Arabidopsis thaliana: one gene and its partner. The protein of the gene in region 1 interacts with the protein of each later gene in a pairwise test. Each region holds a gene or a part of one and is shown in the gene's direction. Other genes may lie near its edges.

What was found. Proteins that work in one complex are often made in the same cells at the same time.
Region 2: the proteins of AT5G25170 (region 1) and HAM3 interact in a two-hybrid assay, tested with the Arabidopsis thaliana proteins (one large-scale study listed by BioGRID).

The regions. Positions count from the first base shown.
Region 1 is NC_003076.8:8,691,430-8,695,595, forward strand, and holds AT5G25170 (PPPDE putative thiol peptidase family protein), read left to right. Parts: upstream 1-1,582; 5' UTR 1,583-1,827; coding exon 1,828-1,969; exon of another isoform or gene 1,970-2,399; coding exon of another isoform or gene 2,400-2,409; coding exon 2,410-2,697; intron 2,698-2,782; coding exon 2,783-3,009; 3' UTR 3,010-3,200; downstream 3,201-4,166. Other genes in the region: CYP71B14 (cytochrome P450, family 71, subfamily B, polypeptide 14), read right to left, coding at 3,201-3,815, 3,917-4,166.
Region 2 is NC_003075.7:56,605-61,451, reverse strand, and holds HAM3 (GRAS family transcription factor), read left to right. Parts: upstream 1-1,956; 5' UTR 1,957-2,346; coding exon 2,347-4,023; 3' UTR 4,024-4,312; downstream 4,313-4,847. UniProt on the Arabidopsis thaliana protein: Probable transcription factor involved in plant development.

The DNA.
Region 1 (4,166 bases):
AATTTGAATATAATTATTACGTACACAACTTGTTGGTCTCCAAAGTCGTTCCACAAATGGCCATGGCTAATGAATTGTCTAAGTCATTAAATAGACATAGTTTTTTTTTTTTTTTGACCTATTAAAATCCAGCTTTTCAAAATTTCAAAATTAATCTATCGACTAAATAAAGAAGCTAATATCTTATTTAATGTTATATTAGCTTTCTAATATATGGTATAGCTTATCTTTAGAATTCAGTGGGAAAAAAAGAAAACAGATACAAATGTTTAGAAGAATGATCAAGTACTAATTTAATAGGCTTTCTGAGTCTAATGTTCATTCCACTAATATATTAAACTATCTTTAAAAGACGGCTAAAACATTTGTGAAGAGTTACTATTATTGGGGAAAAAAAGAAGTCATTTGTGAAGAGTCCATTATAATATCTTGTGTGTTAACCCCTATGCCAAGTCCGTTAATGATAATATTTTGTCAATTATTTTACATGAAATTATATGCCTTTTCTTTATAACTTTTGATAAAAAAATACTGAACAAAGATCGTAAGCTCAAGCTCATATAGAAAGATAAGTTCGTACCTAACAATTATAAATATATTTGATAATTGTGAATCCGTGAATTATGTTTTGCTATTAGTAAATGAAGTTTGAACTAAGTACTATATATATACATTAATCACATAAAACAGAGAATCAGTCTATAAATTTCAAGTAAGTCAGCGTAATTTCTTTTTGTTGTTTGTTTGGTCAAAGATTAAAAAAAACGTAATTATGTTGCCAACTTCACGCCCTAACAGCTAGTCATCGTTTTGCTTAGAACGTACACAAAGACACAACTCCTGAGACATGGCTCGTGGCTTTGTCGATTTCTATTTATTTAATTTAATTTACCTATTTTACCTTAATCTTCTTCAATTTTTACAAAGTCTACCACCAACATCCACGTTGAACCGGTTTATCTAACATAACTATACATCCAAATTGTTCCCATACTAGTTATTGTAGATGTTTCTTCACAAGAATTATAACTATGATGAAAATATAGAGAATAATACAAAAATAAGAACACTATTCTTAACACATATGACATTGTATTATCAATTTTAAAACTTACAAAATTGTTAGGTAACGTTCTGATGAAAATTAGTCTGTAACCAATTAATCAAAGAGCATAGGCTTTATATATATAATTGATTAATCATAACTTTTAAAATAGCATGTTAAATTTCTATCTTAGTATATCATTTGTACATTTTTAACTTTTTATATTAGAATAAAATAAAATAAAATAAACTATTACTTATGCACCTATTCCGTTTATCTGGATATCTTAGAGTAATATACATGTAAGCTAAAATTGATTTGGCTAATATTAAAACGTCAATATAATTTTAATCATCTAGGCGACTAATTTTAAAACACGGTATATAATTAATTAAAATTTCTCTCGCTGTTAAAAATATTATGTTCATTTTTGTTGTTGTTGGAATGTTCAATTATGCACTTTGCTACAAACTATTAAGGTGTCAAAATTGATTCCTAGAAAAAGACAAAGTACACACTTCAGAACTCACAAGTCCTCGTTGGCGTCGATTGACGTCAAAAGCTTCAATTAATAATATAGGGCCAAAACGTGAAAATAATAAATTATAAGGACTAAACAACAATTTATACCCTAAACAAAATGAGAGAAGAATGACAGAAAGCAGAAAAAAAAAAAAAGAATGTAGCTTTTAAGAAAGAAGGAAACATCATCAGAAGCTTCTCTCTCAGATTGACAGAAGAATAAGATTCCAAGCTCCTCTCTTTCTTCTCTTAAAGAAAAGATGTTGTGTAGAATGGTGGTGGTGACTGGCCGGAAAAAGAAACCCGGTTCGGTTCCGGTTTATCTGAATGTATACGATCTCACACCCATCAATGGCTACGCTTACTGGTTAGGACTTGGGATCTATCACTCTGGTGTTGAAGGTAACTCCTTCTCTCTTTTTCTTGGAAATTATTTGTGGGTTTTGGTTAAAGCTTAAAACTTTTGAATTGTAGATTGAAAATTTCTCATCTTTGAGAGGAAGAGATTTGATTCTGTTTTAGATTGTTTAGTTAAAGTAAGAGACTTTTTAAGTTTGATGTTTGTTGGTTTTGTTTTGTTTGTTTGTAGAAATTGAAATAGACTGGTTTCATTTTTCAATAGATTCCAAAACTGGAAACTTTTTTTGACCCATTTTTGGATCAACTCTTCTGATTTTCTATTGAGTAATAATAATCAGAACTTGGTTTTATGTGACTATTAAAGTGAGTTGTATAATATCTTATTATTAGATATGTCTGTCCAAAAATGAAAGTATGTTTATATATTGAGATCTAAGTTGTTGTCTTAATGTTTGCTTCCTAATACAATGTTATGGTTTTAGTTCATGGAGTTGAATATGGTTTTGGAGCTCACGATCATTCGACTACCGGGATATTCGAGGTGGAACCGAAGCAATGTCCGGGTTTCACATTTAGGAAGTCTATATTGATTGGAAGAACTGATTTAGATCCTGAAAACGTTCGTGTCTTTATGGAGAAACTTGCGGAAGAATATAGTGGAAACAGTTATCATTTGATTACTAAGAATTGCAATCACTTTTGCAATGATGTTTGTGTGCAACTGACTCGAAGATCGATCCCTAGTTGGGTTAACCGTCTTGCTCGCTTTGGTAAGAAGTTAGAGAACAGAACATTTGATTTTTACTCTGTTTTAGTAAAAGCTCATTAGGTTTAGGTTTGTTTTTTTGGGTTTAGGTTTGTTTTGCAACTGTGTTCTGCCGGCGGAGTTGAATGAGACTAAGGTGAGGCAGGTGAGATCAAAGGAAGAGAAGATTCCGGAAGTAGAGAAGAAGAAACTTCGGAGTAGATCAAGTAGGTTTCCACCTGGTCCTTCGCTTTCTTCGTCGGGTTCTTTAAACCGAAGCAGAAGAGGAGAAAGGAGAAGACAATGTCTTCCTCCATCACCAACTGTGAGTGTTTAGCTCTAGTCCTAGTAAAATTATACCTTTTTGTTTCGCAATTTGATTCGGTAGTAATGTTTAAGCTACAAGATATGGATTGAACAAACATTTTCTTGATAGTAATGGTATAAGATTTTCACATTACATATTTTGAACTATGAAATTATCAAGTGAAGTGAAGTTCAAAAAGAAAAAAAAAAGTGAAAGTGAAGTCAAGTCCATTGGGTAAGGACTGGGATAAGTTGAAGTGGAACTTTCTTGGGACAAACAAGTCCATATGATTCTTCAAGATCAACATCTTCTATGTTCATTCCTTCCGGAAGCTTCCAGTCGAAACGGTAAAGAAGATTGATAAGAGTCAAGTGTACCAATGCCATACCTAATCCCATACCAGGGCACATTCTCCTTCCGCTACCAAACGGCAGCAACTCAAAGTCTACACCTTTATAGTCAATCTCGCTATGCATAAACCTCTCTGGGATGAAAACTTCTGGATCTTTCCAAACATTTGGATTCCTTTGAACAGCCCATATGTTGACATAAATCCATGTTTTCTTTGGAATGTCGTAACCTCCAATCTTTATATATTTTGAAGCCTCTCTTGGAATCAGAAGTGGCACAAGTGGGTTGATCCTTAATGTTTCTTTAATCACCATTTTCAAATATTCGAGTCGTTCTATATCTTCTTCTGTGATATCATCTTTGTTTTTGATCACTTCTCTTACCTCGGCTTGCGCTTTCTTCATAACTCTTGGGTTTTTAATCAAATGTGTCATCACCCATGTCACAGTGTGGCCAGAAGTGTCCACTCCAGCGATAAGAACGTTCTGCAAAATAATATATGGATTCACAAAAGTTAATCACTATGCAACACGTAAAGAATAAAATTATATATGGATTAACTAAGTAAGAGGTTCCCATTACTTACTAGAAGAATTCCTTTAGTGTGGTTTCGTGTAAGTTGAAACTCTCCAAGTCCTGTCTCTCCCTTTTCCATCTTTAGTAGCAAACCAATGATATCGTCTTTGATATTAGTATCTTCTAGGTGATGCTTTATAGATTGATCAAAAAACGAATCCATTTCCTTAAAAACCTTCTCACATTTGCTATGTAACCCCGTGATCCTATCGATGATTCTACCAATAATCGGGAAGTAATCCGCTGCTGCGAAACGCCCC
Region 2 (4,847 bases), on another chromosome or scaffold:
TCATAGTAATGTGTTGTCAATGATCAAATGAGAGTTAGATTATGTTTAAGGAAATGTATATGATTAAAGAAATAAGGAAATTCCTTTACCAACTTTATATTGTGGTAATTGTTAATTACTTCCCGCCGATCTTGGTTTTTTTTTTTTAATCATAATTATTATTACTTTGGCTCTAATGAGATGAAGAAATCTTCTCTATTTTTCTTTATCCTTATCAGTCCCATGTGATCTCCTAATAATAATTGATCAATTTTTGTCTAATCTAACTAATCATCATCCTAAAATCTAATACAAAATGAACGACGCAATCATTTATATATGGTTACATGCATACAAACTCTAACACGTTATCCTTCAATATAAATTATTGTTTGACAAGATTAATATATTTAGCTGACTTGTTTCTTCCTCTAATTATGGCAAAGCACGATTCTGTTCATCATACGAACTATCCGATTGAGTGGGGTTGGGTGTGTTGCTTGTGATGAAGGGTGCCTTGAGACGAGAGAAAAGAACATGTTTTCACCACGTAACTTACTTCACCCTCACGAAGTTAACACACACATATATTTAGTATTCCAATATACCAAATATTATATTAATATATCATGAAACTTGAAAATGTGTTGGTGTATTATGTATGTCAATAAGAAATAATATTAATACAGTTTCGCGATCATTTCAAGATTTATAATAATTTTGTATAAGAAAGAAAAGTGTGAGAAGTAGTTGTTAGCAAATCACATGGGAACATATAAACTAATTAAATCTTAAAAATGAACATTTTAACTTTTTGTTGTTATATAAAGTAAGTTAACTATCAATAATCATCAAATATTTATGGTACTTAACAAGTATTATAATATGGGACTAAAAATTACTATACAAGAAACTGAACTCTGTGTTTTTTTGTGCGGTCATAATTCGCATATAAAAGATAGATTCAGAATCTGATATTGTTTATACTTTTTTTTTTTTCTTTGATATTGTTTATACTAATGAATTGGTTTGCATAGAAAAGTAAATGCTTTTTCATTATCATGAATACATGATAATGAAACTGTCGCCATTCATTGCAAAATTGGTCCGATTTTAATCTGTCTTCATCAATTACCCACCTCTCTTTCTTGTTGTTTTTTCTGATTGCTTTATTCATTTATTTATTATAGGGTTTTCCATTGGTAGATATATTTATATATGTATATATATGGTGATTGGTGACTTCCATTGTCTGCTCAATAAAGGACTACCACTCGTTCTTTCTCAATCTCTCGTGCATTTAACTTGTCACAGAAGAAACATCATTCACAGATCTTCAATCACTTTTTTCCTTCAAACGAAAAGATGTACCAAAGAAAGTATGTTTTTATATACACGTAAATATATATATAACTCCTTCTTTGTTATAAGTAGTACATGAATGTTTCAGATAATGACGATCATTCGTATCTCGTTAAGTTAAAACAAGAAAAACAAAACAGATATTTTTGATGTAACTCCAATATATACATAGTTTTTGTTTCCACTTTGTTTAGATTTATAAATTTAGATTATGTCCGTAGCAAAAAAAAAAAAAAAAAGGAAACACAAATTAATATAAGCACTGCAATATGTGGTTTAGCTCGTACAATGGATTGGGTGATTTGAGTGGTTAATTTGATAAAGATGATCCAAAAGCTTGTCCAAACCCTAAAACAAACTATTGGGGACAAAGATCACACAAAAGGAAATAACGACAGCACCTTTGAGATAAAACAAAACAAAACAATATCCCAAATATAGTTTGCAAGCCACAAAGTTTTAATCATGAAAATAAATTATAAGAAAACAAAAACATTCCCAATATATTATGACATCCTTTTTTTTTTTTGGGCAAGTATTATGACATCTAAATATACAGTACAACATCAAAAATATGGGGAAAATGTTTTTTTTTTTTAATAGTTTCTAGTAATTCAAGAAGACAAATACAATATTTAAAAATATATCATAACATTTAGTATTTTTGTTTACCATCATGTTCATGTCACTGAAAGGAGTTTGCAAGCCACGCGCGTGATGTAAGAGTGGGGTTGTAATAGAAGACATAGTTAAGATTAGAAAGCAAAGATTAACAAAATGTTGTGTAAGAGAAGCTGATGAATTGTTTAATCAGCTAAGTTAATGACAAAGGCAAAATGATAGGAAACGGAAATAAGAGAGAAAAAGAAAGGAGGAAGCCCACTTTGCCACTTTAATATCTTGCACGCATCCAATATACCTCACCACACCACATCACAACAACGAAGAAGAAGAAGAAGAAGAAGAGCTTCAAGAAGACAAATACACTATTTTTTATCGTCTGCAATGCCCTTACCCTTTGAAGAGTTTCAAGGGAAGGGGATTTCTTGTTTCTCTTCTTTCTCGTCTTCCTTCCCCCAACCACCGTCGTCTCCGCTTTTGAGCCACCGCAAAGCAAGAGGCGGCGAAGAAGAAGAGGAAGAAGTTCCCGCGGCGGAGCCTACCTCTGTTCTGGACTCCCTCATAAGCCCAACCTCTTCCTCCACGGTGTCTTCCTCTCACGGCGGAAACAGCGCCGTCGGAGGCGGCGGCGACGCCACCACCGATGAGCAATGCGGAGCCATTGGGTTGGGTGATTGGGAGGAGCAAGTTCCTCATGACCACGAACAGAGCATTCTCGGACTCATCATGGGAGATTCCACAGATCCCTCTCTTGAACTCAACAGCATTCTCCAAACATCTCCCACCTTCCACGACTCTGACTACTCATCACCCGGTTTCGGAGTCGTCGACACCGGCTTCGGTTTAGACCACCACTCTGTTCCGCCGTCACATGTTTCCGGTCTTCTGATCAACCAAAGTCAAACCCACTACACACAGAATCCTGCGGCTATCTTCTACGGCCACCACCACCATACACCTCCGCCGGCAAAGCGGCTCAACCCTGGTCCCGTGGGGATAACAGAGCAGCTGGTTAAGGCAGCAGAGGTCATAGAGAGCGACACGTGTCTAGCTCAGGGGATATTGGCGCGGCTCAATCAACAGCTCTCTTCTCCCGTCGGGAAGCCATTAGAAAGAGCAGCTTTTTACTTCAAAGAAGCTCTCAATAATCTCCTTCACAACGTCTCCCAAACCCTAAACCCTTATTCCCTCATCTTCAAGATCGCTGCTTACAAATCCTTCTCAGAGATCTCTCCCGTTCTTCAGTTCGCCAACTTTACCTCCAACCAAGCCCTCTTAGAGTCCTTCCATGGCTTCCACCGTCTCCACATCATCGACTTCGATATCGGCTACGGTGGCCAATGGGCTTCCCTCATGCAAGAGCTTGTTCTCCGCGACAACGCCGCTCCTCTCTCCCTCAAGATCACCGTTTTCGCTTCTCCGGCGAACCACGACCAGCTCGAACTTGGCTTCACTCAAGACAACCTCAAGCACTTCGCCTCTGAGATCAACATCTCCCTTGACATCCAAGTTTTGAGCTTAGACCTCCTCGGCTCCATCTCGTGGCCTAACTCGTCGGAGAAAGAAGCTGTCGCCGTTAACATCTCCGCCGCGTCCTTCTCGCACCTCCCTTTGGTCCTCCGTTTCGTGAAGCATCTATCTCCGACGATCATCGTCTGCTCCGACAGAGGATGCGAGAGGACGGATCTGCCCTTCTCTCAACAGCTCGCCCACTCGCTGCACTCACACACCGCTCTCTTCGAATCCCTCGACGCCGTCAACGCCAACCTCGACGCAATGCAGAAGATCGAGAGGTTTCTTATACAGCCGGAGATAGAGAAGCTGGTGTTGGATCGTAGCCGTCCGATAGAAAGGCCGATGATGACGTGGCAAGCGATGTTTCTACAGATGGGTTTCTCACCGGTGACGCACAGTAACTTCACGGAGTCTCAAGCCGAGTGTTTAGTCCAACGGACGCCAGTGAGAGGCTTTCACGTCGAGAAGAAACATAACTCACTTCTCCTATGTTGGCAAAGGACAGAACTCGTCGGAGTTTCAGCATGGAGATGTCGCTCCTCCTGATTTCCACCGGAGTTTCAATTATTAAAAAAATATTTTCCTTAATTCAATTTATCTTAAATGACAAATTTTTAGTTTCTGATTTTATTTTGCTCAGTGCGATGGATTTTTAAATTTAAGTTTCACACAAATATATAAATTTTTGTGAGAAGTTAATTAATTGTCTGATTATCAAACACTTATTGTATAACACATTCAATATATATTAATTGTGGGGATTATTTTTGATCGACTAAATAACGTGATAGAATAATGCTTGGATTAGCTCAATACTATATTTTTCTAATTAAAAATGAATGGGGTGTTGATTTTGATGCGAGGCAGAAAGCTACTGCTCATTATTGTGATTATATGATTATATAATGGTTAGAGTTTGTTGTGGTTTGTGTCTTTGCGAGGGGTCTATTTTTAATTTATAAACATATGTCTCCATGATGTCACATGGGTCTTGTATTATTTTATTTATTTGGACCACAATACATTTTTGTGTGCGCCGTTTCTAACCTTTTTTTTTCTCCGACGAAACAAAGGTTTGCTTTTTCTCCTTTAAATGGTCCATACGCATTACATATATAATGCGCCCATTTGCTTTACGCATTAACTGCATTTCTCTATAGAAATATTTCAGAAACAAACCAAGTGTATACAATACATCAACATGTTTTTTTTGGGGTTTTAATGTGAAGATTTCATTTCAATAAAAAGATTACAAGCTAATCTAAGTAATACAAACCAACATATTTTGGTTTACTCTTTATATTAAAACATCATTTAGGATAATTATTTAAAATATATATTCAAACATCTAAGGTCCTAATTAAGCATTA